Arabidopsis thaliana: one gene and its partner. The protein of the gene in region 1 interacts with the protein of each later gene in a pairwise test. Each region holds a gene or a part of one and is shown on either strand. Other genes may lie near its edges.

Evidence for each region.
Region 2: the proteins of AGL77 (region 1) and AGL99 interact in a two-hybrid assay, tested with the Arabidopsis thaliana proteins (one large-scale study listed by BioGRID).

The regions. Positions count from the first base shown.
Region 1 is NC_003076.8:15,512,436-15,516,147, reverse strand, and holds AGL77 (AGAMOUS-like 77), read left to right. Parts: upstream 1-1,842; coding exon 1,843-3,123; 3' UTR 3,124-3,205; downstream 3,206-3,712. Other genes in the region: AT5G38730 (Tetratricopeptide repeat (TPR)-like superfamily protein), read right to left, coding at 3,457-3,712.
Region 2 is NC_003076.8:1,331,087-1,334,754, forward strand, and holds AGL99 (AGAMOUS-like 99), read left to right. Parts: upstream 1-1,672; 5' UTR 1,673-1,738; coding exon 1,739-2,707; 3' UTR 2,708-2,836; downstream 2,837-3,668. Other genes in the region: CYP77A9 (cytochrome P450, family 77, subfamily A, polypeptide 9), read left to right, coding at 1-1,021.

The DNA of each region.
Region 1 (3,712 bases):
TAAGTGCCTGTAAGTATACACATTCTTCAATTGATTTGCGAATCCAGAATTCTCTGTTTTCTGAGTTCTAAGAAACGCCACATTCTAGGCTCTGGACTTTGCACCTGAAGAAGAAACGTGACTTAACATCATATTCAAAGACCAATATCAAAAGATCAAGGAGGAGAAAAAGATTGAATAGATCAAATATTTGAACAAAACCAAAGGCACTTTGTGTTTGTTAACATAACTAAGATTAGAGCCGCTTCCTTGGTTAACTATGATGAACCATCATCTTCTTCTTGTTCTCAGGCAAAACGATCTGTAAAAAATAGAAAAGTAAACCAAAAGAATCAGACCAAGAACCAAACCGGAAACACAGTGATGCAGAACAAAATCTATACCAGATACAGAGCATCACAACACCACTTGATCTTTGATTCCCATTCACAAAATCTAAACCTAATACAGATATCCCAATCTCGCGATCGTTTACAAAACCAAATCAAACGAATCACAAAACTATCGTAGATGGTATTGAGGAGGAAATAACAAAATTGATCGAGACAAATCAAACCCCAAAAGATTAACACACCGATGGAACAAATTAAGTAACATAAACAAAGAACGAGAGGTGTTGTAACAGTAATCGAATCAACTAATCAAGTAACAGAGAAACACAATTCATAAACAGATCATCGGAATTGAGAATTCATAATCATCGGAATTGCCTCAAAGAAACCCTAAATTCGAGAGTTTGATAACTAACCAGATAATCGATATACCTAGACGAAGTGAGAGATCGTCATTTCTGGATCATGATCGTCGCCGACAATTCGTCGGTGAACCAAGCAAGATCGCCGGAGAAAAAAAAACTTCTCCAGACATTTTGCAAAAAAAATTAAAATTTAGGGATTTCTAAAAAGTGAGAGATATCATAGAGAGATTTGTAGAGGTTTTTCTTCTTCTTCAAACGGTCTAACTCCAATTTTTTCCGCTATATAGAAAAATTCAAAATTTGAAAAATCAAGATTCCAAGACTAAGACATGTTTCGAAAAAAAGAAATTGAAATTCCAGCTGTGACACGTCATGATTATCATGTGCAACAAGTTTGAGCTTAACCGGGATTTTAACATTTTGGTTTAGTGTGAAGGCCTGAATGTTTTTGGTTAAAGCCTAACCACTGTGATCTCATGAACATATTTAGATTCGTTTGGTTTTGGTTTTAAAATGTGACATTAATTCTAAGTCCAACCCAATTAGATCGAAGCAATTATATGTTATCTTCCCAACCCAAACTACGTATTTTCAACTATACAATGAAAATTAAAAGTGACCAAATTAGGCGACACAGAAACGAACAGGTCCAATATATAATAGTTTGGGCCGCTGTAAAAATATACACGTTTGGGCCAAGCCTAGTAAAAAAAAACAAAAATTTGGCCTCTTAACTACCGATTCCAAAATTGAAATGTAGCGTTTTGATTATTCTTCTTTAAATTGTCAGGTTCTACGAAAACCCTAACCAGAGAAGCTTGCCAGCGGCTGAAGAGTTCCGACGAAAGCAGAGGAAGAAAAATATATCGGTTAACCGACCGAACCGAAACACTGGGTAACCAAACATAATTTACAAACCTTCCGATCGGTTTTCCTTTCCTAACCGAAGCAAAGCCCGGAACCAAAAATTTCGGTTCGGAGCGGTTCGGAATTATCGGTTCGAGTTTGTCTCGCAGGCCTACAAAAAAAACTCTATAAATATATGACATATCTAAGGGTTTCCTTAACCTAATTCATTAGCTTTTTCTCTTCACTCTGAACGTGAAAACAAACACAGAGAGTTTGTCTTCAAAATCAACAAGAAGATGACGACCATTCGATCTTCACCTTCTTCCTCTCGTTGTTCCAATTCGTCTTCCTCTTCTTCTTATTCACTCGCTTCCACAAGTTTGTCTAACAGACTTGAGACTATATTCAAGAAAGCTTCAGAGCTTTGCACTCTCTGTGATATCGAAGCCTGCGTCATCTATTACGGACCAGACGGAGAACTTAAAACATGGCCTAAGGAGCGAGAGAAAGTGCGAGACATTGCTCTGAGGTTTAATCAATTAAACGAAGCCTTGAGACACAAGAAAAGCGTTAATCTTCATGGGTTCCTGAACAAGAAGAAGAAGAACAAGGGTTTGAAGAATCCGAACAAGAAGAAGAAGACGAGTCTTAAGAACGTGAATGTTTTAAAGTATCCACTCGCTGATCATTACTCTCCCGACCAAGTTTCTCAATTGACTCAGTCCTTAGAACTCAATGTCTCTAAATTCCAAGAAAGGCTTCGATTTCTTGAGTCGCAGAAACAGAATGAGACAAAACCGGATCATCAGAGTTTAACATCAATATCTTCTCTGAACCAATCTTTGAACCCTAGCCAGTTCTCGCTGTTTATGTATAACCATGGATATAATACTCTGTCTCAGATCCCAGTCTCTGCATCAAATTTCAATCAGGATTATATCTCAGCGTTACTTGAACAATCTGAGTTGAAGAGTCAGATAATGAAGCAGGAGGTTTGTGGTTATGAGCAGAACATGTGCATGAGTAACCATGGAGATGCTACGCTCTCTCAAATCCCATTCTCTGCATCAAATTTCAATCAAGATTTTTCAGCCAACAACAACTTCCAACATTCTTTTGTCTCAAACACACAAGATTACTACTCTGTTCAAAAATCTGTGAATAACAACTATGGGTTGAAGAATCAGTTAATGAAGCACGATCTTTGTGGTTATGAGCACAACATGTGCATGAGTAACCATGGAGATGCTACCTTCTCTCAAATCCCACTCTCTGCATCAAATTTCAATCAAGATTTTTCAGTCTCAATACAAGAAGAATCTGGCTTGATGCAGCAGGAGCTTTGTGGTTATGATCAGAATCAGAACATGAGCATGGGTGACATCACAAACAACAATTTTCAAGTTACTTGCGCCTCAGTACTAGAATCTGTGAACAACTTTGGGTTGAATCAGTTGATGCACAAGGAGTTTTATGGTTGTCATCAAAACATGTCTATGGGTAACATCAATAACAACAGCTTTCAACATCCTTGGGTCTCAAACGCAGACCATACTCGGCGGTACAAGAATCTGTGAACAACTTTGGGTTGAATCAGTTAATGCATGCAGCATGAACTTTACGGTTACGGTTATGCAGACTTTTGTTAATTTCTTATGATTAATTTGATGTGTTGTTGTTGTTGTTGAAATGTATTCAGATCTACAGCTTGTTTACGGTTATTAGTTGGATAGTATTTAGCAGTACATGCACTTTCACTTTCCATAAAGGTCATTATTGTATCATGATTGATGCAGAGGATATCTACACCAGTATTCTTTCACTCTATAGTAGCTAGAAACAACAAGTACTACGTAGCTTATTAGTGTCTTTTAAAGTACATATATATAAATGTGATATGTTGGCTCACTTCACAATACCTCGCTTCTGTTCATTTCCCGTAAAATACTCTTCGATATAAGACATCTATCACCTACATGACTCCAAAAGAATCTCAAAACATCGTTATCACCAGCGTAAGAGGCACTGATAGATTTATAAAGTTTCAAGTTTACCATTAACCGTCGATTATACATTACATCGAACAAAGCAGAAGCTTCAGTGACCTTCCCTGTTCGCCAATATGCATACGCCATGGTCGTGAATATAACACTATCTCCCACTAAA
Region 2 (3,668 bases), about 14 Mb from region 1:
ATCTGAAGCTAAGGAAAACGACGGGCTCGTCTGGGTTCTAAGAAACGCTAGATTCGCTGCTTTTTGTATCTTGTTAGATATGTGTTTCGGAGTTAAAATGGAAGAAGAATCGATTGAGAAGATGGATCAGATGATGACGGAGATTTTAACCGCCGTTGATCCACGAATTCACGACTATCTTCCGATTCTAACTCCGTTTTACTTCAAGGAGAGGAAAAATTCTCTGGAACTTCGCCGGAAACTTGTCCAATTCGTCGTTGGATTCATCGAGAAACGACGATTAGCGATTCGAAATCTCGGCTCCGATAAAACGGCGTCGTCTTTCGCGTATCTTGATACTTTATTCGATCTCAGAGTTGATGGTCGTGAAACGTCACCGTCAGATGAAGATCTCGTGACGCTGTGTTCAGAGTTTCTCAACGCCGGTACGGATACGACGGGGACGGCGATAGAGTGGGGAATCGCGGAGCTGATATCGAATCCGAAGATTCAATCTCGGCTGTACGATGAGATTAAATCAACGGTGGGAGATGATCGAACGGTTGAGGAGAAAGATTTGAATAAAATGGTCTTTTTACAAGCTTTTGTTAAGGAGCTTCTCCGGAGACATCCACCGACGTATTTCACGTTAACTCACGGCGTTACGGAGCCGACTAATCTCGCGGGTTACGATATTCCCGTCGGGGCTAATGTTGAGTTTTATCTTCCCGGTATAAGTGAAGACCCGAAGATATGGTCTAAACCGGAGAAATTTGATCCGGACCGGTTTATAACAGGTGGAGAAGACGCCGATTTAACCGGAGTCGCCGGAGTTAAAATGATGCCGTTCGGAATTGGCCGTCGGATTTGTCCGGGGCTTGGAATGGCGGTCGTACACGTGGAGCTAATGCTGTCGAGGATGGTTCAAGAGTTTGAGTGGAGCTCGTACCCGCCGGAGAGCCAAGTGGATTTCACCGGCAAATTGGTGTTCGCGGTGGTGATGAAGAATCCGTTGAGAGCGAGGGTTAAAGCTAGGGTTTAAGTTTCGTTGATTCCACGTCTTTGATTCTTTTAACTTGACCAAACCCGGTTCAAGAGAGAAAATTCGCATTTTGTCTAATTTGCTTTGGTTTAATTAAATGTTTTCCTACTCTTCAATTACTAAATAGAGCCATGCATATTCGATTTACGTTTGTTTTAGTTGGTTTGCATTATTGCATGTCTTCAAATTAAGCTAGTATAAACTAATAATTTAGATGGTTTGACTAAACCAAATAACTGTTTATTACTGAACCAAATTTTCGATTAAATCACTCTTTCAGAAAAGGAAATTTCTTTGACAAAGGAAAAGGAAACATATACTTATTGGATTAATTAGTGATTAGTAGATTATCACGAAAAGGAAATAGAATCGATGGTTTAACTGAACCAGCCATGGTTAGTTTCAGGTGCTTTTCGAGTTAAGTTTTCAAAAAAGGAAATCGATTGTACTTAGTTTGGTTCGTCTCAGGCGGTTTAAGAGTCATTACTTTCAAAAAAGGAAAATAATTATACTTAGTTCGTTTAATCACTGATTAGCTAATTGTCAGAAAAAGGAAATATAGTCGATTGATTAGAAACGAGTAACAACACAGAGTCTATATATACACGATTAGAAACAGAGAGTAGCCATATCATATTCTTTCGCAACAGGCTAACACAAAAATCTCTCTGTCTTTTTCTCCTTCTCTTTCTTTGTCTGTGAAATCGTGAACACAGAATGGGGGGCGTGAAGAGAAAGATTTCTATAGAGCTGATAGAGAAGAAAGATTCAAGAGCTGTTGCTTTCTCAAAACGCAGTAGGGGTCTATATAGCAAAGCCTCTGATCTTTGTCTTCTCTCCGATGCACAAATTGCGATCATAGCCACTCCGGTCTCTTCCAAATCAAACGTTTCTTTCTACACCTTTGGCCATTCCTCTGTTGATAACGTTGTAGCCGCTTTCCTCACGAATCAGCGTCCTCGGGAAGGTCTAGGGTTAGACTATTGGTGGGAAGATGAGAGGCTTTCAAAATCAGAGGACCTGGAGGAACTGAGAGACGCAATGGACTCGATGTCGAAGATGTTGAAAGATCTGAAGGATTTGCAGAATCAACGAGATTGTGAGGAGGACGTGAAGAAGAAGGGTGTTTTACACGGAACTCATCAAAAGCAAACCTTTAATCCTGAATCATGTTCTGTGAATTTCGATGGGTTTAACAAGAACACTGAAGAATTTGATCTTGATGAAATATTTGATTATGTGTCAACAGCTGAAGCTCTATCGATGAACTTGGACATGGACGATGTCTCTGTGGTGACCACGAATCAAAACCCCGTCTCTGCTTCTGAAACTGTTGAAGATAGAGAATTGGTTGTTCACAAAAATATGGATGAGGACAATATCCACGTGTCTGATATGGACGACAAGGATACGATGCTAATGATTTCTGACAAGAACAATGTTTTACCTGAAAACTTGGATGAATTCGATCAAGAGCTAGATCTTGATCAGCTACTTGATTTTGAGACAAACTATGAAAGCCTTTTGAAGAGTTGTGAGATGGAGGATTATGCCTCGATGGTGACTACAAAGCAAAATCTGTGCTCAAATCCTGAAGCTGTTGAAGATGGAGGATTAATGATTCAAAAAGATTTACCGGAGGATAATCTCTGCTTTTCTGATTATTTCAGTGACTTACATTGCTGATATTTGAAACTCCCTCCAAGATAACAGATGTTTCAAGGATTGCTTCGGTTTATTTTCGTTAGAGATACTTTACTCAAGGAAGGTTCCGGTTTGACTTCAATCAATTTTCCATGCTTCATTGGATTTCTGGGATGTTGATCTAACTCAAACCGGTTCAGTTTTGGTTTGCCTTAACTAATGAAGAAACCATCCTTTTTTCTTTTAAGTTTTGTAGTCTTTTCTATCAACTTGTCTTGTTTTATATGTGTGATGTTTTCTTCTTATATTAAAAGTTTAAAACCAATGAGTCTTACTACTCTTTTTTTCTTGTATCAACTTGTGTCTTGTTTAACTGTGGGATGTTTTCTAATCTAACCAACAAATAATATTAAAACCAATATTGAGTCTTACAACAGAAAACATCTGTCTGACAATCTTTGATTAGGAATGTCTCTGCTTTCTTATTAAGTACCAAAACCAGTCATCATCTAGGCCAGTATTTTGTGATTACTTCATAACTTGAAAACAGATAAAGCTTTACCAAAATAGAGCAGAATGGCTCCATAACAAATTGCAGAAGAACCGGTGCTAATTGATTCCATTCAAAACGTGATGCAGAGAAGTGTTTATATGGCGGGGAAAGTTTGGGAAAAAACACCTTGTAATTGGTTCAAATGCAATGTAGGGGGAGCTTGGGTGTTAAGAAATGAGTTGGGTGGTTTTACTTCACAGTCGCCGGGCGATATTTAGTATAAGAAGTGTAGAGGATGCAAAGCTAAGAGTTTTGCTTTGGTCTATTGAAAGCATGTCAAGTCACAAAGTCATGAGAGTTTTTTTTTGCTTGCCAAGAAAAAGGATTGGTAGAAGCAGTTAATAGGCCGCAGGCTTGGCCCCTCTTTTAAAGCTCAATCTTTTGCTTTAAAGAGTTTTTTGTTTAGTTCCAGGTGTGGAAGATGATGGTTTTGGAAACTTTTGGTGCAAA